Struthio camelus: one gene and its partners. The protein of the gene in region 1 purifies or fractionates together with the protein of each later gene. This does not show direct contact. Links are inferred from orthologs where the notes say so. Each region holds a gene or a part of one and is shown in the gene's direction. Other genes may lie near its edges. The genes, in order: AAK1, RALBP1, AP2M1 and REPS1.

Region 1 (7,255 bases):
TGCAGGTACACAACGCTGGAGAACTCTGCAACCTAAGTGCTGGGGTGGGGGGCGAAGGGAAACTAGGAAAGCTTGTTACAACCTGCTGTAACTTGTTATATGTTACCTCCCCTGCCTTACGCACCCACTGTAGGACAGAATAGCAAAGAAAGATTTTAGTGAGGTTGATAAATCTAGTGGGGATGGACCCCACTCGCCTCCAGGACGGAGTTGCCTCCTGATAGTTAGATATAACCAGAGATAAAGCTAAGCAGGCTCTTTTCTACCTTGTTGCCACTTCCAGAAAAATCCAGAAGAGGTCAGTCTTCCCTAGCTTTTAGGTTATTCAACGTGCAACATTTCCAAACTTGTGCTCTTATTTAGAAAATGCTGAGCTGCCTGGAAAGTTTGATCAAGAAGGATGCAGCCATATTAATGTTTCCCTGTTTCTTCTCCTGGGGATCTGAATGCATTCTGTTAGTAGTATAAGGGAACCAGGAATCAGACAGATAATATAGAAGCAAACAGCTCTGCTGACTATGTCCTCAGGCCTCAAATATTTTAAAACCAGTCTCACAAGATTTTAGGAACTAAATTGTGGCGTTTAGTACTAGTCGGTACAGTACTAGTCGGACTGAGTTTCTCTGTGCAGTGGTACAACTCCAAAAAGCACACCAGAGATGCACCAGGCTTAGATGAGAGGAGGACTTGACCACGTCTCTGCTGGCAATCACTGATTAGCTTTTTCACGTAAACCTTTCAAGCTCAGGTCTCTCTGATCCCGATGAAGGTCACTGGGATTGCAGCAATGCAGCTGCACCTCATGTTTTCTAGAATAAAGAATGGCATCAGCATCTGCAACTGAGGATCTGCTTCTGCTATACTTTTGTTCCCCCAAACAGTCACCAGCAGAGTCTGTGGGGGCTTGCGGCAAGAACCTCAGGGCCCCATAGCTGCACATGGATCTGATACCGACTTGCATTATACCTTAGCACTTCCAGGTGCATTAAAAAAAAGTAGTTCTCAGTGCCTAGTTAGGATGTTCAGCAGTGCATCTGCAAGCTCTCTGCATGGCAGTAGGTTTTATCTTTCTTAGCTGGAAATGAGTCATTTCCCTGTACTGTACAGAGATGCCCAATTTTCTTGGAAATTGTTCAGTTCTGCAGAGTCTCCAGACATCACTGACTGCAGGTCTCTGCTATTTTACCTCAATCTTAATAAATGGCTGAGGATGTTTCATAGGTTAGACCATTTAAAAAAAAAAAAAAAAAGCAAGCAAGCAAACTGGACAGAACCCACGCTTTCTCCAGTTCCTACTCTATCTGCAGGGCAAGTGAACCTTCTGTATTCGCCATGGGCAACACATCGTCTAGCCACAAATAAAAACTGAACAAGGTTTAATGAAGATTAAATGCCTGTTAAATAAAAAGAGGACAGTTTTACTGCTTTTCACGTTTGTGACTGCTTGACATGATTGCCGCTTCAGCCATGTGGACCAAGAGCGTCTTGTAAATGAGACATGAAAATCATGTAAAGATTGGAGCAAGTTTGCAGCACTCTACAAACTTTGCGTGAATGATGGCGGTCCAGGAGGCCTTTGAGGTCCACACAGCCAGCTTGTAGGGCCTTACTTAGGAGAACCGCTGAGAATAAGGATGATGGAAGAGGTGTAGAGTTAACCGTTCTGGAGAGGCACAGTGGCTCAGCAGAAAAGCAACTGTACAGCGATGCTTACATCAGTAAAGCAGTTTTAGATCCGTGTCTAAAACATATGCTAAATTTTATCATCAACAATTGTATTTGCTTATACTGGGAGCCACTTTCACAATAACATGTATCTTAAAAATCTCCAAATGTTGGCAAAAGCAATTAGGTCCATTTACAACACGCTGATCCTGTCTTCTTGGCACTGTTGGAAGCCTGTGCCCAAAAGCTAGCCCATTCAAGCAAGGTAGCGATGAAGGAAAAAGAACAGTACAAAGCTTGTAATTTCTTTCGCTTGCGCATTGCTTCCCAACATATTCTCCAGGGTGTTTTAGCTACTCAGTTGTTTTCATTAAAGTTCTCTTTCTGAAAACAAAATCCAGGGTAAACATTTTTGCCAGCCCACAATAGCCAGGGCCTGCCTGGCCTATGCACATGGGACTGGGGCTTGTCAGCACGATGGCTGTAGTTATTACCATAATACAGGAAATAATAGTCATTAGGCAAATACGAACGCACTCTGGTTTCCTCTTTTGCCCCTCCTTCTGCCCCAGGCAGAGATGAGGAATGAGAGCGTGAGAGCGCTGCTTTCACAGAGGCGTCCCTCTCCGGCCGCAGACTCCGCAGGCTTTTGTGTTCCAGGTCGCAGGTCTAGGAAAAACCAATTCTTGCTGGTTTAACGTTCCCCTTTGCCATTCAAAACCCCGGCTCTGGCTCTCCCAGGTAACGCGTGTGGAAAGCAGGGATGGCTGCTGCAGGCACCGTCGGCTGGCAAATTTAAAGCTCTCCCGAGTCCTGAGAACTAGAAAATGGCTGAGAAGAACACAAAGTGCATTTTAAGAAAAATTTCACATGATGCAAGCTCAACTCACCGTTCTTTGATGTCGGGCTCGCAGGTTTGGGGTTCTTCGGACCAGCCACCTCGCTGCTGGTGAACATCTCACTGCAAGCTTGCAAACTAGACAGGTCCTGGAGAGGGGAGGAGGAAGAAGACAGAATTTAACAGAAAACCCAAGGCTCGGTCCCAGAGTCCATACGCTAAAGCCAGTGAGCGCTTTGGGTGCGTGGAGAGCGTTGTTCTCCGCGCCACGTCCTGAAAGGTACTGAGCACCCACGGATCAGCACCGGGGAGGCCTCTACAAAACCCCCAAATTACTTTGAAACAGGAAACTAAATAAACATCTGATTTTGGCAAATCCACTTAGAAAGAGCGTTGAGCCAGGCTGCACGAAATCAACCGCTAGATTTAAAACACTCAGCGAGTTCTGAGATGTTGGGGTACGGCCGAGTCCCTTTATTCGAGCACCTCTTTGTTCCCCGACCAGGCACAGTTTGGGGGCGGGGAGTTATTTTCTTCAGTGTGTAGTTTCTTGTGCCTTTTTTTTTTTTTTTTTTAAATTTGAGATTCTCAACCAGGTGCAAGCCGGGCCTGCGTGAAGACAAAGCCTTGGAGCTTCACTTCCAAGCTGTCAGAGCGGACAGTTTTTTATTGTTACGTGACACGAAAACGCCGAGGCCTTAAGTGTCCCCTGGAAAAAAACAAAACGCGCACAAACGGCTGTAACGGCCGCTCGTCACGGCGGGGAGAGCGTGCGCGCGCGCGGGCTGCGACCCCCTGACAGGATCCCTGCGCGCAGCGCGGCCCCGCGCTCCCCCTCGGAGCTGGGGGGGGGGAACATGGACCCCGCCGCCCCTCCGGTGGCCCTCCGGTGTCGCCGGCCCCCCGGGGCAGCCCGCAGAGCGCATCGCCGCCAGCGGGGGCGAGCGGGAAGCCCCCCCCTGCCCCGCCATCCCCTCTCGGCCCCGCATAACGGCGTTGCTCGCGCCGCGCTGCCTGCTGGGACTTGTAGTCCGCGGTGCGGGGAGGGGGTGGTGGTGGGGGAGGCGGCGCGGCGCCCGCTGGAACTACCGCTCCCAGAGTGCCGCGCGGCGGGGCCGGCCGCCGCCATTATCCACCCCCCCCCCCCCACAAGCAGGGTCTCTCGCCCCTCCACGGCGCTGAGGCGGCGGGAGGAAGAGGGGGGGGGCTCCGCGGTGGGGGGCAGCGGCGGGGCTGGGCCGGGCCGAGCCGAGCCGGGGGCGGTCTTGCCGCCGGGACTTCCTGTGACCGCCCATTTCCTGGTCGGATGGGGCCGGCGGGCGGCGGCGGTGGCGGCGGGGTCGGTGCCTGACGGACTCGGTAGCCGCCGGGAGCTGGACCGGACCGGGCCCGGCCGGGCCAGGCCAGGCCAGGCAGCGATGCGGGTACCGGGCCCTGCCGGCAGGCGGCCCCCGCCGTGAGCCGCGGGGGCTGCGGCTGGGGCAGGCCTGGGCTGCATGGAGGCGCCCCCCGGCCGCGCAGAGGTACCGGGCGGCCTGACCGGGGGGAGGCGGCGGCGGCGGCTCCGTGAGGGGGAGGCCGCGCCGCAGCACTGACCGCCCCCTCCCGGTTTTGCAGGTGTGACTCTCCTTGAGCGAGGCGAGCGCGGCTCCCCCCCCCCCCCCCCCCACCGCCGTCCCCTCCTCACCGGAGCCCGGCGGCGGCTGCGGGACCTCGGCGGCGGCCCTGAGCCATGAAGAAGTTTTTCGACTCGCGGCGGGAGCAAGGCGCCTCGGGCCCGGGCTCGGGCGCCAGCGGCGGCGGCGGTGGCAGCGGCGGCCCCGGCAGCGGCTACATCGGGCGGGTGTTCAGCATCGGCCGCTACCAGGTGACGGTGGACGAGGTGCTGGCCGAAGGTGAGGTGCCCGGGCCTGCTGCTGCCGCCGCTTCCCGGCCCTTTTCCCTCCTCCCTCTTTCCTTAGGGACGGAGGCTGCGGCCTCCCTCTTTACCCCTCTTCTCCTCCCTCCTCCTCCCCCCCCCCCCCCAATATTTCATCGTCCTTGAGGGACTCGCACTTGTGTGCTTTGACGTTTCTGGGTCCCCCCCCTCCCCACCACGTCAACCCAGTGTGGGTTTGCTGGGTTTGCTTTACTTCTTGTGTTTTACAGACTTTAGGAATTGCAGGTGTTTCAGAAGCTAACGCTTTCCCCCACTTTGTGGCTTGCATGTATATATCTTTTATTAAAGTCCAAGTTGTCATCTGTTCTGGTGGAGAGCAGTGTACCTGTAAACAAAGAAAGCAGCGGTCTTCTAACTTTCTTCAGCCAGTTCCCTCCTTCCCTAGCTTAGGGTGAGGGGATGGAAACGCTAGAGTAAATTCCTTGCGTGTTTATCACACATGTATGTAGGCTGAGTAGAGCTAGCTCTTATCTGAGATGGGGGATTGCTGTTTGTGTGGAGTTTCTGCAAGGAAAATGGCAAGCCCACTTTTTGTTAAGAAAACATTTTAGGAAGAAGAAATGAACAGTAGAGGTTATGAAGCTCCCTATGGACACAGTCCTTGCAGTGCAGAAAGCTGGTGGTATTATTTTTTTAAATTGTAACCAACACTGCTGCTTTAACTATCATTTTACGTTTCATTTAGTTGGGCATAGGGTACCTTATGCGTGTCTCTGGCTGGTAACCTTAGCCTCAACCTTCAGAGAGATGTTAGCCTCTTTAGACCTGCTCCCGGGCCATCTCCTGCACAGCATCCTTTGTAATTTTGGTGAGAAGTGTTTTGTTTTGATTGTATAATAGCAAAGGAAAGGGTAGCTAATGTACAAGAGCTGAGTGAGAGGGCCTGTATTGGATTTTACAGACAGAACCCTAAAATGGGAGACCTGTAAGGGACTCTGTGTGTGTGTTTGGGTTTGTGAGAATTATCTCAGTGTGAAAGAATATCTGTCTGCGACCTTTTTTTTTTTTTTCCAGACGTGCTTTTTCTGATGCATAGGTTCTGGTGCATGCCAAGCTGAGAGGAGCACCAGAAACAGTCCTTCAGCTCATAACTATAGCAATTTTTCCCCCCCCGTCTCCTTCCTTGAACTGGAAGTTGTAATATGGATTTGCCCTAGCTGATACTTCTAAGGCCCTTTGGCCATAGCAGCTTAGGAACTAGACAAGTTAAACCTGAGTGGCTGTCACAGTGTTCCTGTCTGCGCACTGGCCTCATCCTGGTAACACAGGAAAATGAGAGACTTTTTTTTGCTGATGAATAATCTGTTGGCAGGTCCTGCCCTGCTGCTGACAGCAGCAGGACGTGAGCCTGTATGCCACTGGGCACTCTTCCGCTCAGCTCACTGAAGCTGCAGCCAGCAAAGGTGCTGGGCGGTAGGGCAGACTGCGTGGGCAAAAGATTATCGTGGGAAAAGTGCCTCCCCTTCATACCTTGCTGTCTCGAAGGAACTGCTACTTGTGAAAGCTTTTCTCTGTGACTCTTGGGTTCTCCGCTGGGCTGCGGGATGGGCCTAGTGCTAGCTACAGCTGTTAGATCTGCTTGCACGGGCTGGTAAAGTAGGCATGACGTTCTTTTCTGATCATGCCATAAGGCAAAGGAAGTTCTCTAGGTGAAGTGTGCTAGGCAGGTATTTTCTCACAGTTAGACCCCTGGTACAGGCAGTCGGAAATCCCTCTGAATGGTGAGTGGAGTCTCCAAAGAGACATGAGCAAGGTGGCTTGTAGATTTGCGGGTCATCACCTTTTGATGGGAAGGGAGGAGAATGTTTCCTTTATAAACACCAGAAAGGCCTCGTAGGTCATCTGGGGAGACAACATAGGTTATAAGTGTGGCAGCTTTGCATACTTCTGACCTTTTGGTGTAGCTGCCGGTGATCCAGAACTGCTAGCAAGGAGCGTTTTTCACTGACTCGGCTAGAGATCTGGGGAGCTGTTTGGCAACCTGGACCCTGTGCTACTGAGGTCTGAATCCTTGTCTAGAAAACTTTTTGTATCTGGTGTTAATTTTGCTGGCTCAGCAGTATTGGAGAGCTGACTTGCAAAGTCTTGACTGTGCTAAAAGGAAAATTCCCCTGGGAAGCGCGTTGCAGGAGGAGATGGAATATCCTGCCTGCGAAAGAAACCTCTCTCATCCCCCTTACTTTAGAAGGGGGAGAAGGGGCCTGTGTGTTGGTGCAGCATGTGAAGCATAAGAAATTAAAGTAGGTGTAAAAAATGGCTTAAAAGAAGGACTCTGAAATGGTGGTGGATGGTGTGGGGGAGACAGAGTTGCAAGCCTGAGGAACTGGTTGAACCAGAACTTTTGGAATTGAAGTGTTGGGATTTACCTCTGTCTGTCAAATCTGTGACCAGCCACCCTCAATTCTGCTGAGCAACCCTGCTGAAGAAGCCTGCTCTCTGGCTCAGACAGGAAGTCCTTAAACGCAGGCACAGTGAAGTGTGCCGGATGGCAGACTGGCAGATAACTCCATGTGCTGTCAGTCCCTTGGGCAGATCCCCTGAGATATCCAATGCAGGTTGGTACTCCCCCCCCCCCCCACCCCACCCCCAATAGTTGTGTCTGGATATGTGCTTTCCTGGGTGGGGAGGAACAAGTCAGGATCCTTCCATCTGGAAGGAAGTAGATGGGAATAATATAGGAAGGGATTTGAGTGGTTGTTTGTGGCATTATAATACAGGTAAATCAGTATTTTCTACAAACAGTGTAATGCGATAGGGGGTTCTTTGAGTCTCTGTAGTCATCTTCCTCTAGTCTAAGTAATAGCATGATTACT
Region 2 (7,238 bases), on another chromosome or scaffold:
CCCCCGGACCTGCTGTCTCCCCAGTAGTTGACTTGGACATCCTGGTGCCTCCGGTAGCCAACTCGCAGTTCCTCTGGTTTCTGTCTGCCTTCCCAAGCCACTTACCCTGCCACCGGCTAGTCCGGCTTGACGTTGGCTCACAATCACACGCCAACGTGCAGACCCACACCATATGCACACGCTCCGGTGTCTGAAGTGTGGCACTCGAGAGACACGCAGCCCCTGTGACTCGTGGCCCCGCTGTGGTGGCACTCAGGCCTCCATGCACACACTGAATAGAGCCCCCTCACACAGGAAGAGAGCTAGAAATAGAATTTATGGAGCAGACAGGACAGAGTGGTGGTGAGGCACAGGGCATGGCCAGACAAGCGTAGTGCAACCTGTTTGCACCTGTCCAGCCCCTTTTATCTCCTTATCCCACTATTTTCCCACACTTGTTCCTCCCCAAACCACTTTGATCCCTCCTTCTCCCCTCCTGTGGTCCTCCTCCTAAACATCATATAGGAATTTTTGTACAACCCCTAGACAGTCCTCCCTGCAGGCCATACCGAGTCCCACGCCCCCAGCAGACGCTCTCTCTCACAGAGCTGCTCCTCATGGTTAAGGGTCCCCCTGGCCCCAGGGCTCCTTTCTCTGACTGGTTTATTGTGATTCCCCCACCTGCCATCGTGCCTCAGTGCTCTTTCGTGCTTGCGTCAACAAGTCTTTTATCACATAACCTAACATATTAGTGATTATAATGTCTATTGGGGTTTAAAAAAAAAAAAAAAAAAAAAAAAAAGCTTGTCCTGAGATTTCCCACTAGGTGCGACAGTGTTGATGGATGAGTTCTTGGCGTGATCTGTTTGACCAAGTACTATGTAGTTAAAGTATACTTAGAAACAAGACATTGGAAGGAACAAAGTCTTTTTCAAACAAATCTAGCTAAGAAGGCTGCCAAGGTCCAGTTTTTTAATATCCTTTCACTGCATATGTCTTTTTAAATTTTCTTCTTACAACAAAGATCTGCGAATAGTGTGATTCCGTAGTGCTAATTGGAGTTGTAAAGGCAGAGCTCAGTATAGCGAACTGATTTTTTATCATATCGCTCTTCTGGCTCTGTTCTCTCCTGTTATGTGATACTTCCTATGAATAACTTAGCTTTTTGAAGATTTTAACTAATCTATTTCTTCTGCACTTTCCTTGGTGTATTCAAGCTGTCATTGTTTTGCATGCATGTTTTCATATGTGGCCGGCCAGTGTCTTTCATCAGCTATACCTCTTTATGACTGCTGTGTATTTCTTTATGGCTGATGAGAATTAAGCAGTGTGTCTACCTGTGGTTTGCCCACCAGGGTAGACAATTTAATAGAATCTAATGTGCTAAAGTTATCACAGAATAGTACAGCCCATTTAGACTCCCATCTCTCAAAGGGTTTTGAGTGAACACTTCTCATCGTGTCCTCTCCCCATTCAAAAGAAGTTGCTGTGCAGACAGGAGTGAAAGAAAGAGAGGGCCATAGGGGGAGCAGGCCCTTCTTCTTTCCAGTTCTGCCACACACAGACTTTCCTCATCTTTATGGAAACAAGTCTTCCATTATGATATCCTCTCAATTCAAATATGTGCTTGGTCAACAAAGGAAAGTTGGAGGTGTCTATAATAAAATGACTGTGCTCCCTTTGGCCTTTAGTCATGAAGTTGAATTGATCTCTGGAAGATATCTATTATTTACCACTTCATACATAGCTCTTTCAGTTTTATGAGCAAGAAGGACAGTGCTCAGTGTCATAGGGAGTCCATCTGTGGTACCAGCAGATGTAACTACATGGACTAAAGGAGGTTTTTTTTTAACTTTGAGTAAACCTGGAAGTTGAGATATTAAAATGGTTTCTCAGGCACTATTTCAGACTGCCAAATAGAAGATGTACCCACTATCTTTCACTAATAAAAAGACAAACTTAACCCAAAACTGGCTTTCTTGAAGCAGTCACAGCTTACACAGCTCTGCTTTTTTTCCTTTTTTTCTAAAATGCTTTCTAGACCACCACTCCATTATTATTTTGTAACATTTATGAGGCTCAGGTACAGAAGCAAGACTGAATTTCAAAGCAGAGAGTTTGTCATCTTAGAATCCTTGCTTGACTTTGTCCTTAAAACAGCAAGAATTTATGAAGAGTGAATGTAAGGAGGTGTAGGGCGTAAGAATGTGTCTCAGTCTGCGTAAGCAGGCCTCGGACCACAATGAGGTTTCTGAAGTTTAAAATTACCCAATTGTATTTCATATGGCAGCAAGCTGGTCCAGTACTGCACACAATTACTTGTTTGTTTTCAGCAAAAAATGGAGGAAGATTCATTCTCTGTTTATCAGCTGATGGGCCTAGTGTTTGTGAGCTTATGTTAACAACAGCCTCTGATACTACTTACTCTTTGGAGTTGAGAGCCTCTAGTGACTATCACTTCAAGTGGAGACCCTTACAGGCAATCATCTCAAATTACTATAGATGTTACTAAAGAAACCATTCCCTCCTTTTGCCAAAAATAATACAGCCTTTGTGTAACAAAAACCATTAGCTGTGATGTTAAGTTAAATAAAACAGTAAGTACTTGCCTTTAAACTGTTCCTTCTGGGAGGGAGGAGGGAAACTGAGAGTTGCATGATTATGTAATATGCTGTGGAGACAATATCTCTGTGCTCCAACACTAATCAGAGTGTTTACAACCCTCCCTTTTGTATTTTCTACTGAATAGCACAAATTCCTGTGGGGGACCTTTTACATTACCACAGAAGGTTGCACAAAGAACCCATTTGACAAGGACTAAGGAGCATTGAATCTCAAGTGAATAAACGAAGCAGGTGGCACACTGCCACAGTATTAATGTGTCCAATAGCTTAGGGATTATGTTTGAGGCTGTGGGAATGAACTGGTCTGCTTCTTACTGGAACAAATTCCCTTGTTGATTAGGAATCCTGAAAAGGATTCAAGATATGCAGGTGCTTAACATAATCAGAAACTTGTATGGTAAGAGACAAAGAATACAAAATTCTTTTAATATCACTATAAACAGGATGCGAGTTGAGCTGGAGATGTGTTTCTTGGCACAGATCACCTCCTCGAGTCACAGAGTATTTCTCCAATTTCTTGTATGCCACAAAGACAAACTGGTAATGATGCAAGCTCAAATCTGTTGCACAAGATGAAGCCAAAGTAGATGGCTGCTCTCTTTTGCATTGTAAACATGGAAGTCGATAGCAATGTTATTGAGAAAGCAGGCTGGATGTAAACAGCTACAGAGCTGTGTCAGCTCTTGCATTTGTGTTCCGTGTCTTTCAACGTTTGTTGACTTTCCACTGTTAAAAATTTTAAGGGGTTTATCTCACAACAGGTTTAGTCGTAGACTACTTGATGAATCGTTCCCAATGCTTATGTTTCTCGTAAAACTGCTCAAAGAAGCAGATTTTTGTTCCTGTCTGGTTAGGGCGCCTTCGGTGAACTTTATGAAGTTTTTCCGTCATTGAAACAAGAGTGCTGAAGGGGTCACTCCGGGGACCCCCTTCAGCGGTGCTCCACTCAGCCCTTGGCCCCAAAGTGCCTCGCTGCCTGCAGCTGGGACCAGCTCCCCTCGCACCCCGGTCGCAGGGCTTCCAGGTGAACCTCGGCCTTCCGCCTCCCTCCCAGGACGCCACCGGCTGCTTGCCAGAGGAGCTCTCTCCCCCGGCAGGGCCCACAGCTGCCGCAGGCCAGGGTCCTGCACCACAGAGCACGGCAGCCCCCACGACCGACGAGGGCCGGAAAGCCATCGAGGCAGGAGCCTCTTGTGCCCCCGCAACAGCCTGCGCTCCCTCAGCGCAGCGCTCGCGGGAGTTGAAGAACGAGCGAGGCCGACAGCACGGCCGCGCCTCGAACCTCGAAGCCGCCTAACACGCGGCTGCCGCCTTCCACCCCGCGAGGTCGCTGGGAGTTGTAGTCCGACGCCCGCAAAGCGACCGGCTACCCCTTCCCCTGGGTTCCGCCGAGGGAACTACAATACCCGGCAAGCCCCGCCCGCCCGGGGGAAGCGCGGCAGGGGAGGGACATGACGGGCGTCTCCTTCCCTGCCCCGTCTCGTCTCCCCGCCCTCCTATTGCGCGTGCGCAGAGCGCCTCTTCCGGGGTGGTGTCCCCGCGCGGGCCCGGCGCCCTTCCCCCAACGCTACAGCGCACGCGCCCTACTTCTCCCCCCCCCCCCCCGCGCTGGCTCCCCCCGCCTCCGGCCTGGGCAGCTTTGCGCCTGCGCGAGCCTCTGCCCCGCGCCGCGGAGGAGGTGGCGGCGGCGGCGCATGCGCGCTGGGGAAGCTCGCGCCGCTGCTGAGCCGTCCTTGCGGGCCGGGCGGCGGAGGCGGAATGGGGCACGAGGCGGGGCCCCGCGCGTGAGGCCGAGGCGGAGCCGCCGCGCCGGCGAGCCGGACCCCGACGGTTAGTGCTCCGATGGGGGGAGGGAAGGGGGGCGGAGGCGGGAGCCTCCAGCCCGGCCGCCTTCGTTTCCCGGTGAAGGGCGAGGAGGAAGCCACTTCCGGGCTGGTGGGGGGATAACGAGTGGCGGGGAGCCTGCCCCCGCCCCCGGCAACGGCCGCCCGGGGGGGGAGGGAGGGGCAGCCTCAAGGCCTCCCCAGCCGGCAGGCGCCCCGGGTGAGGGGCGGCGGGGTCGCCGGCTCTTCCCTGCCCGCAGACGCCGCCTTCTCACCTGGCCGGTCCGGAGGGCAGCAGCGTGGGCTGCGCTGCCCGAGGAGCCGTCCCCGCCGGCGGGGGGAGGGAGGGGTGGTCGGTCCCCGGCTGGGGGCTTCCCCCTTGAGAGCTCTGGGGTAAGGCGGCTGAGCTGCTGGGCGTGCGTGCCCCAGTGGAGGAGCGGGGTAGTGCTGGGGACGGAGACCATGTGTCCCAGCCCTGTCTTGTCTCCTGTCTTACTGCTCAGGAGAGGGATCTGGTCCTTAGGCTTTCTCTGATGACATTCTTTTCGCTCGTGTCCTTAATGAGAATGAGCATTGTGCATCCCTGGGTGGATGTCAGGCTCCTCCTGTGCCGTATTTTCTTATTACCTTAATCTCATGCTCCAAAGCATGTGTCAGATTTGCTGTCGCTCAGGCTGAGATTAGAGGTGTTCTAGGTTACATCCTCGGTTTCTATGAGTTTTTTTTTTTTATTATTATTCATTTACCTTCAGCTGGAGGTTACATCTTTAAAAGTAGAAAACTCTTACTCTCATTGACATCATTATAGTTTTGCACCTAGTATGCTCAGCAAGGTCCAAGCATGCTGTGTTTGCTTGCCTCATGATGTTGTTTAGAAAATGTGTACATCATGTACCATTGCATCATACATGAGTAAAAAAGTAGCTCTTCCCTTAAGCGCTTAAGTATCTTAAGACAAACCATAATGAAAATACCAAGAAACCACAGTGATAATTTGAAAGTATCTCTTCCCGAGAATGTTTTGGTTTCAGTTTGTTTTCTGTTGTCCCTAAGGTTTATGGTCATCCTCAACGAAGAATAACAATCAGGAATAACTGGCTAGGACCTTTTTACAAGTTGCATAAAATAGATGGATTTGTGCAAGTCTTTTGTTCCAGTATAGCAAAACAGCAATATTTGCCTTCTCACATCTATTTCTCACCTGGAAAGCTCTTGAAGCACCTACTATTGTAAATGTTCAACATCGCTGTAATGCAGTGTAATTCAAGGGTGATATTAAGGCTATGTTTGGTCTGATTGTAGATAGATATGACTTTATTACCAAATTTTAAAGAGTCCATTTGATTTCATTTTTGATATAATTTGAAATGTTGCATGCAACTTCTGATGAATGATGCCATACAACAACTTATAATTCATTTTGATATAGTCCTATGCAATCAGTGTGGCACGTACTCGTGGAGGGCTCTTTTCTGCAGAGGAGTAAAAAGTGGGGAAGAAAAGCTTCCGAACAGTTATGTTTTTGAATGTTTATTACTTCGAGGTGTTTGAAATGTGCTGAAAATATGCTGTAATATTGTAGGTAATTATGTCCATAGTAGGGTGTTTATTATGGAAGAGCAGGGAACTGTAAGTTTCCTGTTCTAGGGATCTCTTCTCTATCACTCTGGGAAAATAATTTCTGTTCTTTAGTTTTGCTGTATCTGAAATGGAAATAGAAGATTGGAATAGCTGCTTCAGACTTTTAAGAATTCAACTGCAATTCTGGCATCATTCTTTCTTAATTAAATGTGGTTTTTTTCTTTGTGGGGCTGGAGGATTTTGTTTTGGGGTGTTTTTTTATTTGTTGTTTGTAAAATTTTCACTTGTAAAACCACTGGTGCAGTTGTACTTAGATGCAGTAGAAAGATTTCTTGTATCGCGTAGCTTATTTCCCTCCCTGTATGTGCATGTCCATACTGGAATATGTTGTCTTTGTATTGCAATAACTGTATTATCGCTTCAGTGCTGTATTGCTTAGTTCTGTAGGTGTAGTTAAAGCAAAAGTGATGTGCATGTGTACTGTATGTTAACACTTTAGGATTGTGATCTTAGTCGTATCTTCTAGGCACTTCCCTAGTATGATTTGTCTGTATTTTCTTACAACAAAGGCTTAGATGTTTTCTGAGTAAACAGTGCTGTTTCTGACAAGCTATTTCAGACTGATATGAACAACGCTGCCGTGTAAAAATACGGACAAATGCAAACTTATTTTCCTTCTTTAAAAGTTGATGTCATGTAACTGGTATCTAAATGTCAAAATATAGTATGACTTATTTCTTCATTTAACTGTATGGTTAGTATAACCTACTAAGCTTTACTCTGGACTAATGCGTCTAAGAATATTTTGAACCAGTGAATCACTCGCTACCCTTAAAACTAGCCGTGGTTCACCATGTGCCTACTTCAGACTTTCACCTGAAGAATCCATCAGTTGTTCTGTTCACCGGTACCTTGGACACCATAGTTCGGAAATCGTTGATCAAAAAGAGAAGATCCTGCCTTTGGGCTGGATATAGCCTGGGGGAGTCCTGCACTTAGGCTGCATCGCCCAACTGGATGGTGTTGAAAGATGATTACTGTCCAAATAGCAGTTCTCTCCCGCCTGCCGTGGCCCAAACCAGAAAGGTGAGCGTGCAGGTTGCTTTTGGAAAAAGGAAGGGTATGACTCTTTTCCCTTCCCTGCATATCCTCCCCCTGGCAGCCCATCAACCCTGTTGAGCATGGCTTCAGCAAATACACAGTTAGTTGAAGCTGTGAGGGGACTATGGAG
Region 3 (7,434 bases), on another chromosome or scaffold:
CAGACTTGGCCCCTTGTTGTACAGCTCTCTTTAGAGAGCAGTGAAAAATGTCCCAGCACCCTTGTCATGCTTGCTGGGGCTGTGAATTTGGGAGCGTTGTTGACACTATCGTGTGCCACGCAGTCTTTTTGCCTGGGCAGCCAAAGTAGAGTCTTAGCCTTTTCTGACTGTACTTGGCTCCAGGCTCTGAGCTTTCACTGCTGGCAAGGGAGCGGTGCTCTTGACAGCTAGGTTCTGCTCAAATGAGAAGGATGGATGAGACTAATTGGCAAGGCAAGCTCTAGCTCTGATGTGGTCCTTTCCCTCTGAGCTTGTTTCTGTCTCGGAGTGACAGCTCCGAGTCTCGCAGCCTGGATGCTGTCCCTGCGGGAGGCACACGTGGCTGTACTGCTTAACAGGGAGGGTGCCAGCTTCTCTTACCTCCTTGTGTACCGCATCGCTGCCTGTCGACAAGGGTGGACATGATGCTGTTTCATCACACGTGGCTATCTTTCCACTCGGATTAACCCCTGTTCTCTACTTTCCTGCAGACATGGCTAACCTGTCTCTTCATGATCATGATGGCTCCAGCGGTGCCTCCGATCAGGACACTTTGGCTCCGCTCCCACACCCGGGAGCCGCACCCTGGCCTATGGCTTTCCCATATCAGTATCCACCACCTCATCCATACAACCCCCACCCCGGCTTCCCTGACCCAGGCTACAGCTATGGAGGGGGCAGTGCAGGCAGCCAGCACAGTGAAGGTGAGTGAAAGGGACCCACATGTGCCTGTAGAGCTGAGCAGGTGCCCTGTTCACTTGGGGGAAGCTGCGGGAACAGGCTAGTCCCTTAGGCAAGGCTGTATGCATGGGGGAGCCAGATCAAAGCCTTCATTCAGAGGAATCCCACAGGGGTTATGGGATTAGAGTTGAACGGAGAGTGAGACCATGGACTGTGCAGTCTGGTAGCTGTGCTGCAGTGTGTTGTAGTCCTGTCTTGGTGGGGAGCAGAGGATTCTTTCTTCCTGGTTTATCTGATGTGTTGCCTAACCTTGCCCCGTGTGTTTTGCAGGGAGCCGGAGCAGTGGTTCCAATCGCAGCGGCAGCGAGAGGAGGAAGGAGAGAGAGAAGACTGGAGAGTCCAAGTCAGGTGGCAGCGGGAGCGAGTCGGACCACACCACCCGGAGCAGCATGCGGCGTGAGCGTGCGGCCAGTGAGCGCTCGGTGCCTGCCAGCCAGCACAGCCAGCGCAGCCAGCACTCCCTGGCTCACAGTATCCGCAGCCACCACAGCCAGCAGTCATATGGGCCGCCTGGCCTCCCCCCTCTCTTCAGCCCCCCCATGTTGCTGATGCCTCCACCGCCTTCAGCCATGGGGCCCCCCGGGGCACCGCCGGGCCGTGACCTGGCCTCTGTGCCCCCAGAACTGACAGCCAGTAGACAGTCCTTCCGAATGGCCATGGGCAACCCCAGTGAGTTCTTTGTGGATGTAATGTGAAGCGCCCGTCCCCTGTCTGTCTGCTGCCCCTCCTTCCCCCTTCCATCCCCAGTCGTTTGTCTCCTAGGACCAGCCCCAGCTTCACCCCTTGTTTTTATGGGTCTTTTTTTTTTTTTTTGGTCTTGATAACTAAAAGAAAAAAAAGGGAAAAAAATAAATGGAACTAAACCTTGATTCTAATCCCTCCTCGAGCGGGGTGGAGGGGCCTGGCAGGCCTGCTGAGCTCTGCCAGCCCATCCTGCCACCAGACTTGTGTATTGCCGATGGTAATTCCCTCCTGCCGTCCTCTCTAACCCCATTAATCTGCATCCATCCCAGCGCCCTGTGCTGCTTGCCCGTGTGTTGCTGCTGCCGCAGTCCTTCTGCCCTAAACATCTCTTCTTTCTTTTCACCCTTTTGTGTTTCTTCTATCAAGCAGCAAAGAATTACGGGGTGTTTGACTTTCTCTGAGCCTGCCGCCCGCAGGGGGGAGAGCTGGAGCGTGGCGTGGCCCGACAGGAGGACACGGAGCTCCAAGGGCGCTGGGCACGCATGGTGCTGAAGATGTCTTCTTTTCTCCCCCTAGCGGAAGACTCCCTGCCCTTTCCGCAGCACTGAGAGGGGAGCAGCGCCCAGCTCTGGCCTTATATGTGTTTAAATCCAAGTGTAATTGCCTTTTGGCTAATGCATGAATGTTCCAGGGCTTCACTGCCTCTAGGGAGTGGAGGGATGGTGCCACTTTCCCTTAGCCTCCCTCCCCTTGCCGCTCCTTGGGCCAAATCTGAGCCTGGCGCTACCCTATGGCAGAACCCTCCTGCCTGCTTCCCTGACAGCGAGACTTGAGATTGGGTCCGTTCCTCCGGCATCCGACCCTGACTGGCGCTGGGTACCTAAACATGTCCGGTCGAGGCCTGGGGGGGTGTGTGGTGTGCACGGGTGTGAATGTAAGGGCAGAGCTCTGCTTGCTCTGCCAAAGGGGGTGCAGAGGCCCAGGCGTTGCCCTCCTGCCTAGCACACCCTGCTGCCTGTCTCCTGTGTAGGGGCTGCCCCTCGCCTGGGGCCAGTGTCTGCAGCTGGGGCCTTCCCCCTCCTGCTCTGCTGCGCTTCCCTTCAGCAATGTAACATCTCCCACAGTCAATGCTGATGTGTGGGTGGCCTGGACAGAGCTAGAGGGTGAGGGAGGGGCACTTCTGGTCCGCTTTCATTCTTTTGGGGAAAGCGGAGATCTCCTGTGTTCGCTGGCCAGCCGCACCCTCTGCTCCCCCGGGATGAGCTCTGCTGGCCTGTCGAGGGGAGGGAAGGGGCTCTGGGCCCAGAAAGCTGCAGAGCTGGGCCTGCCCCGCTCCAGCCTAGATGCAAATGGCTCCCTAAAGAGACGCAAACCCTCCTGTGAATTAAGGACTGTGGTGTTGAATGCAGGGCCCTGGGCTCAGTGCCCACAGAGGATTGCGATGGCAATTGAGTCCGTTTGCTCTGATGCTCCCTTCTGTTTTTTCCTCCTCTTTGGGGTGTGTGGAGCCTTTCTTCCACTCTACAAGAGTGGTGTGGGAAGGAGATGTGCCTTGGGTTAGGGGGTGGGGGGCGGCCTCCTCCTCAGAGCCTGGGGCTGAGCACGGTACGGTAGGGATGCATTGGACCCTGCTCCCGTTGGTCTTGGCGCCCTCTCATATTGCTGACCATGGCTTTCTCTGCAACAGTGTTGCCTCCTTCAGCCTTTCTTTCTTATGTTTGAATTTTTTATATTTTGGAGATGAAATGTATTTTGCTCCTCTGGGGTCTGCGTTGTGCCTGCACCCCCTCTGCCAGCTCCTGTGTGCCACCAGTTCATCTCCCTATGACTCCCTAAGCCTCTCCTCTTCCTGTGCCTGCTGGTGCCAATTTGCCCAGTCTCTGCCATCTTCCTGTCCCCTGATCTTGGTGCTGGCAAGCTGCTGCTTGTCCCTTCTCCTGCCTTTCGTAATGCCACCCAGCAGCCTCCCCTGACCACTGCTCACTGCCCTGCCCTGCCCTGCCCTGCCCTGCCCTCTGGGTTTTATAAAAACAAAACCAGTCTCCTTGTTTTTATTTATAAACATAGTTTTATTGGACTCCTGCCTCGTGTTGTTTTTTTTTCAGCACCCTCTTCTTTTCTATGCTCCTGTGTTTTGCTCGGCAGCAAGCTCTGGGCATCGAGGGGCTGTCCTGGGCCTGAGCCTCTCTGTTTTCTAACAGAGCTATTCTTCCTGGGCTATTGAGACCTGCCATGACTTAACCTCGGCCTGTCCCAGCCTCCTCCTGCTGCTGCTTTCTGGTGCAAGAGCTGATTGATCACAGCATTAGAAGATGAAAAATTATTCATTGGGCCTGTAAGGCAAAGATATTTGCGGTGCATGCGTTGGGGGGTGGGGGGATGACTGGGGCCTGGGCAGCTCTGGAAGTGGGCTCTGCCTGGCTGCCCGTGGCACGATGAGATGAGGGGGAGAGGGTGGCAGAGGGCGAGCTGCCCCAGGAGCACCTGCACATATGGCCTGTGAGGGGGGATGGCGCGGGTGGGTGATGGGAAAGCAGCAGTGCCTGTGGCTGGGCACGGCAGCTGGGGGCCTGGCCGAGTGCACCCACCTTTCCCCACGGGCTGTGTCCCACGGGTATCCCCAGCCCCCTGCGGATCAGGGAATTGAGGGCTGCTGGGGACAGTGGGCTGAGGGCCCTGCTCGCACGGACCATGCCGAGGGGCAGGGGATGCCCCGTGCTTCGAGCCCCCCCCCCGGGCCGGGGGGGCTGCTGCTGGGCCTGCGCAACTCCACGCGTGGGTGTGTCAGCTCTGCTACCTCCCGGAACTACAACTCCCAGCTCGCACCGCGCCATAGGACTACAACTCCCAGCGCGCGCCGCGCCGCAGGACCACAACTCCCAGCATACTCAGCGGCCCCCCCCACCCCCCCCGCGCGCCGAGCGACTCGGCGGGATGCGGAGCACAGTCCCCGCCCTGCCTCCCCGCGGAGGCGCATGCGCAACTGCGGCGGGGCGCGGGCGGGGCATGCGCGGCGGCGGCTCTGCAGTGATAGGGGGGGCGCGGAGGGAAGGGGGGGGTGGCGGCCGCCATCTTGGGTAGTGAGCAGCGAGCGGCGAGCGGGCGGCGGCAGGTGAGGCGCCGCCGCGCGGTCCTTCTTCCTCCACGCCGGAGGTGCGTGTCCCGCTTCTCCCGCGGGGCGGCTTCCCGGGGCGGTGGGGCTCGTCTCTTCCTCGGGGCCGAGCCGCCCTGGGTGGTGGTTCCCTCAGTACCCGCCGGGGGCGGGGGTCTGCGGGCCTCCCCCGGCGGGCGCGGCGTGGCACTGACAGGCCTAGGGGGGTCTTGTCAGGGCGAGGCCCCCCGACGGCTGCCCTTGGGGGGGGCCGGCAGCGTCTCCGGGCCGCCCCGGGGTCCCGCCTGGAGCCGGCGGGGCGGCGAGGGAGGGAAGCGGGCTCTCCCTGGAGAGCTGCTCCTCAGCCCGCTGCGAGCGGCTGCCGGGCCTCCTCCCGGGGTGGCCCCCAGCCTCGCCGCTGGCTGGAGCTGGCTAGCATCTATTCGCGTGTTGCTTTGGGGGGGAGGTGGTTGTTAGCCGCCTGTGTTAATTAATGCTCTGTCCGGAACACCCGTCGTGGCGGCTTCGTGTCCGCGGTGCTGCTGAAGACCGGGTGAGGGTGGTGGTGGCAGAGGCAAGACCTGAGCGGTGCAGGGTGTTGGGGAAAGGTCTGCACCGCTGTGCTGGGTCACCCCGAGCAAAGGTCTTGCGGTCGGATTAGGCAGGAACTTCCCCTAAAATGACTTATCTGTACTCCTGATATGAACATGAATTAGCTAGGTCGTGGACTGCACCCTCTAGCTTCCTTTCTGGAGAACCTGCTGAGGCAGACTATAGCTCTGCTGATGCTGAACTGTCCTTGTTCTGAGGTTTGAAATGGGCCCTTATCCCACAGCTCTTCTAAATGCATTTCCACTTCCTTTCTTCCATGGTCTAGGTTTTTGGAGTCTGTAAGGCTACAGGAAATGCAGCCTTTGTACAATGTAGTTGACTTCTCACTAGGAAATGAGTCTTGTTTGATCTGGTCTTCTCTCTATAAACTGTAAATTTTGAAGTTCTGGTTTTTTTCCTTGCTTTAGGATGACAAAGCTGCTGTCAACTTCTAGCCTCAGGCTGCCAAAAATCTGAGCCTGGAGCTTTCCCAGATAGGTGAGCCTGGATGGCTTCTGCTGTGGCTCAGAAGTTGAGATATTATGGATTTCTAATTGAATATAGGTTCCTGTAGTGGTGTTTTGTTAGGTAGTGTTCTCTTGAATGCTGTGAGGACCATAGTTACTATTCTGTTCAGTAGCAAATGACAGACTTGTCCCCGTCAGTTTTGCTTGCAGGGACAGTATCTCATCTGGTGAGATGCTGCCAAACTGCCTACTTCCATATTTTTTCTGTCAGAAGGAAAGCATTGCTTTTGTTGGGAACGCCATGTTACTGACATCTAGTGACAAGGATACCTGGTGTTCTTTGGGTTGCAAGCTTGCCATCTTTGTCTCCAAGAAGAGAACCTGTTTCCGATACCCTTGAAGGGTATCATGACTAAATTCTCCCTTTCAAGAGAGCACATTTCCAGCCTTCTAAGAATTGAGTCTTGAGGCTGTGAAGGGTTGAATCTTGAATTCTTTGAAACACAGATGACTGGAAGTGCGCTCTGCTGATTGGATGAGTTTCTAATCTTTTTGATGGGATGGGAATAGTCACTGAACAAAACATGCTTTATATAAAAATTTCTTGTGACCCTACTTAAACTTAGCTTTAGGTCTTCTTGATGCAGGGATGAGACAAAACTTTCTTGTGCAACACAAAGTGTCTTGCATTAGTGTTCTAAGCTTATACTACTGAAGACTGCTAGTGCGTGTTAAAAATGTTCTTGGGGTTAGCTGAAGGACAGACAGAAGTACAGCCCAGGGTGCCAAAATGTAATAGGTCTGTATAGTACAGCCTGCTTCTTTCCTTTAGTAGATGACTAGAGTCACAGAATGGCCGAGGTTGGGAGGGACCTTGGGAGATCATCTAGTCCAACCCCCTTGCTCAAGCAGGGTCCTCTAGAGCACGTCGCACAGGATTGCGTCCAGGCGGGTTTTGAATATCTCCAGAGAAGGAGACCCCCCACAACCTCTCTGGGCGACCTGTTCCAGTGCTCAGTCACCCTCACAGGAAAGAAGTTTGTCCTCAGATTCAGATGGAACCTGCTGTGTTCCAGTTTGTGCCCGTTGCCTCTTGTCCTGTCACGGGCACCCCTGGAAAGGGTTTGGCCCCATCTTCTTCACACCCTCCCTTTAGATACTTGTACACATTGATGAGCTCCCCCCTCAGTTTTCTCTTCTCCAGGCTGAGCAGGCCCAGCTCTCTCAGCCTTTCCTCATAGGAAAGGTGCTCCAGTCTTCTAGTCATTTTCGTAGCCCTCTGCTGGACTCTCTCCAGTAGCGCCATGTCTAGTACTGGGGGGCCCGGAATTGGACACAGTACTCCGGGTGCGGCCTCACCAAGGCTGAGTAGAGGGGGAGGATCACCTCCCTCGACCTGCTGGCAACGCTCTTCCTAAACGCGGCCCAGGATGCCATCGGCCCTCCTGGCCACAAGGACACATTGCTGGCTCACAGTCCACTTGTTGTCCACCAGGACTCCCAGGTCCTTCTCTGCAGAGCTGCTTTTCAGCAGAGTCAAAAATTACTGGCAAGCCACGCTTTATTTTGATCTCAGCAGGAGGTTGGCAGCTTAGCTGAAAGCTTGCAGCCTGAGGCACGGGATATGAAATGCAGTTATCTGTTCCAAAGTCATAGCAGAAAGAGATATACTGGCAAGTTGGGGTATCTAGGCCGTTAGTGGTCTGCAGAATACAAGCTCTTATTCAAACCGCAGTCCGTGTCTCTAACCTTTTCTGTTGAAGACGAATAGAATGCAAGTCACTGTTCAGAGCTGTAGCTCAAGAGTGAGCAGTTCGGCAG
Region 4 (7,295 bases), on another chromosome or scaffold:
AATTAAAAAAAAAAAATACTCCACAGTTAATAAATGTCTCCAGCCGGGACCCCATGCGTATTTTAATGGTTATACATCATGCTAGAGAGGCTTTTGAGAAAGAAGTTACATTCCCTTATGGGATGTGCCTGCACAGAGATGCAGAAGGGATCAGAACGACCACATTGTGGTAACTGTATTCCTTGAGATTCACTGTGTACTCGCTGAACACTCCTTGCAAAGGGGTTCTCTGTCCAAAAGAAAAAAATGGTAGACTCCTTGTTGTTATTGTCTGCTACATAGCTTCGCGTGGAAAGAATTGTTTCATCTGCCATTGAAAACAGACTAAAACATGGGGCATTTTTTTGGTGGAGAAATAATCTAGCAAGACAAGTCGGGGTAGATTTTATGAGGGTAGATTTTTTGAAATATGGATGCTATTCCATAGAAGATAAAAAATCACCAGCAGGTATAACCTAACCAAAAACTGGTGTTTTTGTAGTTTACCAAAATTGCAAGAATGTAACTATCAAGGTTGACAAGATGTCACAAAGTGTAACTCATACAACACACATGGAGAAATTTACAGATTTGTAGACACAAATATCTATATAGTCTCTAAAAAGACTGTATTTACATTAAAAGTGTTGATTTTCCATATGATAGGAATCAAGGAGGCTTTTAGAAAAGCGGAACAAGGACTTCTTTGATTTAGAAACGCCCACAATATTCTTCTGTCTAGGAATAAAGTATGCCCCCTCCAAAGCAGCTCCGAAGTCAGCAGCAGCAGATTTCTGTAACGATCTCCCATTCATTTTTAGCATTACTCTACTTCTCTTTCCACTAAGGGATGAGGACAGAACAAGTTCCTGCAACTCATGATGAGTTGCAAGTAAAGGAGTGTATTGACAGAGTTTGTAAAACCTGCTCCACAGCATTATGTATGGAAAAAAACTTAGAAAAGCAATGACAAATAACCTCAGGGCCATTCTTCTAAACTTGGGGAAAGAGGTACAAGATGGAAAGTGTGCCCAAACTGTAAAAGATTAAAAGTTATTTCAATGTGTTTCAATAAAAAAGTTATATAAACATATGACTTATTTTGCTGCAAATAATGGCAGCACATGAGACTCTCCAACAAGAATTCAGAGGCCCATCAGAAGCAGGGAGATCTGGGACACGGCCCTCCCATTACACCTGATAAAGACAAGACTCTGTATATGCATGTGTTTGAGTTATATTTATAAATTAGTCTCAGCATGTTTAACAACTAGTTTCTAGAAATCAACATTAAATAATGATAAAAGATACTGAAATCTGAACAGTGTTTTAACTGGCAATTCCCTTAAATGAATAAAACATTACAATATATCTGGTTTCGGGTTTTTTTTTTCCTAACAGCAACTGACATGCATGTTTTTGGTTGCATAGTAAGTTGTAAAGTATTCCTTTTCTAAAAAACAAGGTTTTATTGGTGCTTAACTTGGTTCTGATTCTAAAAACTGTTACGGGCAAAGTAACTTTGCACTATCTGGGTCCTTAGTTCTGGGGCTCCAGTGATGATTTCTCTGATTTTGTTCCTTTAAAAGAATGATTGCTTTGATATTAATGTCATCTGCTTCACAGAAAATATAGTAAAATTAGGCACCAACTGGAGAATAGTTTAACTCTTAATTCGTAACTCTGAATTCTAAGGTGAATTAAAAAGAGCATAAAGAGTATGGTACCTTAAAAAGCCAAGAAAGCTCCTCCTGCTATGTTTAAATGATAATTTAAGGCAGTTAAATCAACTTTTTATTGTAGTAAGACATCAAAAATGAAAATATACTTGGGAGAGTATTTTGCCATAAACCTCCTTCTTTGCATACCTAAAACGAGCTCTGGGAAATGCTCTGATACAGATCTTCCCAAACTAATAAACTAGAAATGAAAGTGCTGAAGAGTAAACAAAACAGGTAAAGAACAAGACAGAAATTATCACTGAAAAATCCAGCTAATTTTTTCATCTCAGTAGACCTGGAGTCTGACTTGATGGGAACAGGTAACGTTCTGAACACCTACCTCGCTCTGGAGATTTGCAAAGGTCCTGTCCAGGGAAAGGAGATCCCATAGCCAAACACAGATACACTGTAAATGGGACTGAGGCAAACATGTTTCCCACATATGTAGCCCTTGGGAATTAGAAGTTAATTTGCTATGCCTCATTTTATTCTCACTCTTTCTGCTAAGTCTTTGAATTAGCACAAAGGCAAGGAGGTAAGTTTATGATATGGGAGTTGGAAATGGAACCAAACAGCTTCTTTTCCAAAACAGCTCCCTAAATGGTTTTCAGAGTGGTGGTATAAACAGTGAAAAGTCCCATATATTCCCCCAATGCATTCAACTCTCCAGTAAATAATGGCATCACACTTTGACATAAAACTCATAATATAAAATTATTTTGACAAGTATAACTACTTCTGTGTCCTGAAACTAATTTCTAAAGAAGTTTATGGCTGTAGATACATACATAGATTTAACTTCCAAATAGTAGTGCCCAAACCAGCACACAATCACTGAACCTTTAGGAAACAAATGCTCTTTGAACCCAATCACCTACTAGCAAGCACTTTTAAAAGCTCTCCTACAAATGACTGTTTAACTGATAGTATTGTAGTATGCAATTTAGCCCTAGAGGAAAGGTGATATTCATTTTACTTACAGAAATACGTGACAATGGCTCCAATCAACTGACCTCCGATGCTAATTTGTTCCTATCTCAGTTTTTGATATATCTAGTTATTATGATTTTATAAAGTTAATTATAATTTCTTCTATATAGCCCATAAAGAATTTTAACTAACTGAGAAACATGAAGAATCTGTGTGGTCTCATGATTAATATTAGCTGGGGTTGCAAAAGATTCCATAATGGTACGTTTCTGCAGTTAACACAAAGATGGATCTTCCCAAAGTAATTTTTCAGTGGTTTCTAGAAAATTTAGTTAGCAGCAAGAGGATATACTATGTTTTTCAAAGAGAGCAAGAAAGACTAATCTCTGCTTTAAGTTCAGAAAAGAACTATCTAATTGCAGAAAAACAATTAGTATTACCTTGTTAAATTATAATGATGTTCTTTTAGCTCAAATAGAAGACAAATGCTGGAATCAAAATTCAGAAATCAGAGCTGATGGGTAAAAAAGGATGAGATGGTTAAGTGAAGTACAACAAAGGCAGCAGCAGCCACTCGGAAAGAGAAAAGGAAGAGCTGTGAAGGAAGACGGACTGGAAAAAAAGACAGATAAATTTAAAAAAGAAAAAAAGAGAAAGGGGGAGACAATGTCTCTAAATACTAGGATTTCCACCTCAGCAGGATTTAAACCAGACCAGGTACTAGCAAGGGTCTAGTATGAGACCATGACATTCTGCACAGGTTAACCGACTGTCAGGAATGGCAGACTGGCTCCAGAAGCACAGTTACCCTGCAAAGAACTAACTGCAGTTGTATTCTGGTGAGGGCTTACATTTCCCCACCAAAGTAGAGTCCAGGAAAAAGAGAGCGGGACAAGCAGAGTGGTAACTCCGGCTGAAGAGACAAGCGAGCCCTTACTTATTCTTTCTTGCTAGGCTGATGTATGGAGCTATTACCAAGGCACCTCCTAGTATTGTGTTATGTAGCAATGCTGCATGAAGCACTGAGGGTAGAAGAAGAAAGCACGTTGAGGATATAGTCAGGCACACTGGGTAGAGCAGTCATCAGTTATCAGGAAAACCTGCTTTAGGGAGGCCTCTGTTCCCGGAGCCCTCTAGGTCACAGGGAAGGCAGACTGTGGAAACCATTCAGCCCTGCCCTCGCTTGCTCCTCAGGCCGGCCTGCAAACGAGGAAGGCGCCCGCGCAGCCGCGCCGACACAGGGCCTCTACCACTGCCCCATCAGCCGCGGGGCGCGGGCCCGGCCGGACCGGCGAGCAGGCCACGGACGCCGCCGGCGCCCCGAGGAGGAGGAGGAGGGCGCAGCCGGCAGCACCCTGCTCCCGCCACGGCGCCGCAGGGCGCCACCAGGCCCCGCCGCACGCGCCCCAACGGCCGCACAGGGGGCGCTGCCGCGCGCGCGCCCGGCACAACACCTCCCCCTCCGCTCCGGCGGCGGCTGCATATCCGGGCCTCGGTAAGGGGGCGGGCCCTAGGGCGCCGCTCGGGAACTTTATTCGCGCTCTTCCCCGCTAGCCCCGCCCCGCTGGGCCTTGCACTTCCGGTGGTTCTCGCCGCCGCCGCCGCTCGCCCGCTGGTTGGCGCAGGCGCGGGGGAAGGCGCGCAGGCGCGCCGCCGTGTGGGCGTGGAGGGCGGGGCGGGTGGGCGGTTGGCGGGGGAAGGTGTGAGCGGCCGCTCGCGCGCGGCGGCTGGCTGGGCGTGCGGCGGCGGCGTTGTTCCCCTGCCGGGCCGGGCCGGGCCGGGCGGCGTGAGGCGGCTCGGCGCGCTTTCTCCTGCCCCCGCCTGCCAGGCCGCCGCCGTTGGATGCGAGGCGGCGACGGCGGCAGCAGCAGCGCTGCGCGGTGCCCGGGTGTAAGATGGAGGGCCTGACGCTGAGCGAGGCGGAGCAGCGCTACTACTGCGACCTCTTCTCCTACTGCGACACCGAGAGCACCAAGAAGGTGGCGTCCAACGGGCGGGTCCTGGAGCTCTTCCGCGCCGCGCAGCTGCCCAACGACGTGGTCATGCAGGTAGCCGCAGCCGCCCTTTCTCCGCGGGGCGGCCGCGCTCCCGGCGGGCCTGGGCACCGCCCCGCCGGTAAAGCCCGCGGGGAGGCGGCCTCGTCCGGGGCTGCCGCCCCTCCCGTGCGCTCGGCCCGGCTCTGGCTGCTCTCGCGTCCTTCCCCGGCCGGGAGCCCTTTGGCGGGGGTCGCCCCGCCGCGGGTAACGAGCCGGGGTGGAGAGGCCGGACCAGACCCGGGGCGGTCGGGGGCTATTGTCCGGCCTAAGGCGAGCCTGGAGCCGTCCACCTGAGCCCGGGCGGGAGGGTGGCAGGGCTGAGCCTCTCCAGCAGGGAGGCAAGGGGGGGTCCGCGTGTTGCTGGGCAGAGCGTGCTCCTAGTAGGGCCCCTGCTTATGTGTGTGTGGGGCTTCCAGTTGCAAGACTGGGAAAGGTCCGCTGATAAACTCCAGTGGCCATGTCCAGCAACTGGTAGGAAAGTGTCTTGTTTGCTCTGTGTTGATAAAGTCCATCCAAAGCATGAGAACCCTGCCCCCCCCTCCCCACAAACTGATTTTAGGATGTGAGGAAGGTTTGTCCTACAATTCAGTGGTGAAGAGTACTACAGAAGAAAACCTGGGTTTGTATTTTTGGGTACAGCTGAAGTTGATTCGTTTTGCTTATGTTATGCAGTCTTTTTTAGGCATCTATTCCCAGCTGGTATTAACTTACCTGTAGTCACCAAAACGTTTTCTTGCAATGAAAAATGCAGTATTGAGTTAGGCCTGTACTTGTAATACGTATATGAAGAGTTTTAGCACTGCTTTTCCTGGCCAGGTAAGATGTAAAAGCTGTGATTGTATTACAGATCTACCAATGCAGAACAGGGAAAGTCTACTCTGATGTGCCTCGTGTAATTATTTGAGGAAATTATTCACAGGGTGCCATGCTTAATCAATAAATATTTGTAGTAATTGCTTTTGCAGTTATCCCTGTCAGTGTTCGTGCTTTAAAGTTTATGCTGTATTTTGAACGCCTCTGAAAAATGCTGTGGGTAAAACTGCATCTAAAAGGCATTCTGTATGTTAGGCAGTTTCACGCTCTTCCTAGATAAACAGCCCTTTTAATAAAGCATCAGCGTTACTGTAGCCAGAACTACAGGACACACATTTCAACTTTCTGCAATTTAGTACTAAATGTCAGGAGAATACTTATGCTTAGCAAGGGTTATTGATAATGTCTTCTGGGCTCATAAAAACAACTGGATTAGTTAAAGGAGTTTAAGATACCCTGAATCACATGTTTCAGCTCAGTAGAAGAGGGTGATAGTTGTCAGGGGTTGGGAGTTTTTTTGTTCCTTTTTTTAAGGCTAAAATAAATGTTTGTTAGTAGTAAAACTAATAATCTTTTATTTGATAACTTGCTAGAGTGTGCATAATGTTAAGAGAGCCTTCACGTTCAGTATTATGAATGAAGTTCCTGAAGGCCACTCACTGTTTCTTTTTGTCTATGGCCAATGCATTTCAGAAAACTCATCCCAGGAAAGTGGATGTTTACCTGCTTGGTGTATTTAAAATCTCTTTTCCATAAAGCTGTCTGGATCATTGTGTAGGTAAAATAGGCTAGTGCTAGAGATTTTATTCTATGCAAAGGTTTAGTGCAAGAGCAGAAAGACTTGGTATTTTGGATACAAGTGGCCACAGACTATATTCTTATCTGTACAGAGAAGGTAACATATTTTCTCGCAAAGGAGAGCGCATCTGAAGGAAAGAAAAACTACTCGGGCATCATTCCATGGGTTCTAAATAAATTGTTAACTCCAGAAGCAGACCTGGCTTATCACTAAAGTGATCTCAAGGAAAACCTTGCAGTTAAAACAGTAAACAAGATGTTAAGATTGCATGAGGAATGAGACTGTAAATAATGCAAAGAAAGTCAAAATGCCCTTGCATTTGACATAGGTCAGGCTGCTCTTGTGCGTTTAATGTTGGTCACCTGTGAAGTACCTGGTATTTGTGAGGGAGAGGACCAGTTGCCTGGTTCTTTATATTCGCATTGAAGTACAGCTGTACTTGTAGTTAGGGCAGACGTGGATATATTAGTGCATGTTCTTCAGAGGATATTTGATGCTTCAGAGGTTGTGAGTATACAACTAAAAACTCAATGTAGCATAGTTTAAAAAATATCGATGAAACCCTGTGATGGGCACTGATGTTTTTTTTTTTTTTTTCCTTTCCGTTAACTACCCAATTCTGTGTTCTGTTATCTGTTTCCCTAAAAGTCCTGGTATTTGTAAGGGAAAGGAACTTGATTCCGTTACTTCAGGTACTCGATTCAGTTCTTATATTCTCCTGAAATAAAGTGTAGTCCTCCTAATCACATAAATGCTAAATACTTTTCTGGTGTTCAGTTTAACTTGATGCAAAATTGCTGCTATTCAAATCCACAGGAACTGGATAGTCCTGAGGAACAACCTGCAAGTTTTTCTCTTTAGCAATACAGATCTGTAGATACCTTTTGAATAATTCAGAATTGATGCTGCTGAAAATAAAAATGCATGACTTGTTTGCAAACCTGTTGTTTTGGGACTGGATACATCTACAGCCTTTCCTGCCAGGAGTTATGTTTGCGTGAAGTTTCTGTTTGCAAC

What was found.
Region 2: the proteins of AAK1 (region 1) and RALBP1 purify together in Homo sapiens (affinity purification with mass spectrometry; 3 studies listed by BioGRID and IntAct, counting the BioPlex papers as one, with this or other methods). This does not show direct contact. The link is inferred for Struthio camelus from reciprocal best matches to the Homo sapiens genes AAK1 and RALBP1.
Region 3: the proteins of AAK1 (region 1) and AP2M1 purify together in Homo sapiens (affinity purification with mass spectrometry; 5 studies listed by BioGRID and IntAct, counting the BioPlex papers as one, with this or other methods). This does not show direct contact. The link is inferred for Struthio camelus from reciprocal best matches to the Homo sapiens genes AAK1 and AP2M1.
Region 4: the proteins of AAK1 (region 1) and REPS1 purify together in Homo sapiens (affinity purification with mass spectrometry; 3 studies listed by BioGRID and IntAct, counting the BioPlex papers as one, with this or other methods). This does not show direct contact. The link is inferred for Struthio camelus from reciprocal best matches to the Homo sapiens genes AAK1 and REPS1.

What each region holds. Positions count from the first base shown.
Region 1 is NC_090968.1:3,007,573-3,014,827, reverse strand, and holds the start of AAK1 (AP2-associated protein kinase 1), read left to right. Parts: upstream 1-4,235; coding exon 4,236-4,398; exon of another isoform or gene 4,399-4,506; intron 4,507-7,255.
Region 2 is NC_090943.1:116,298,732-116,305,969, reverse strand, and holds the start of RALBP1 (ralA-binding protein 1), read left to right. Parts: upstream 1-4,223; 5' UTR 4,224-4,433; intron 4,434-7,238. UniProt on the Homo sapiens protein: Multifunctional protein that functions as a downstream effector of RALA and RALB. As a GTPase-activating protein/GAP can inactivate CDC42 and RAC1 by stimulating their GTPase activity.
Region 3 is NC_090950.1:22,546,370-22,553,803, forward strand, and holds the start of AP2M1 (AP-2 complex subunit mu), read left to right. Parts: upstream 1-4,432; 5' UTR 4,433-4,576; exon of another isoform or gene 4,577-4,617; intron 4,618-7,434. Other genes in the region: DVL3 (segment polarity protein dishevelled homolog DVL-3), read left to right, coding at 531-743, 1,051-1,475.
Region 4 is NC_090944.1:75,177,688-75,184,982, reverse strand, and holds the start of REPS1 (ralBP1-associated Eps domain-containing protein 1), read left to right. Parts: upstream 1-4,293; 5' UTR 4,294-4,525; coding exon 4,526-4,678; intron 4,679-7,295. UniProt on the Homo sapiens protein: May coordinate the cellular actions of activated EGF receptors and Ral-GTPases.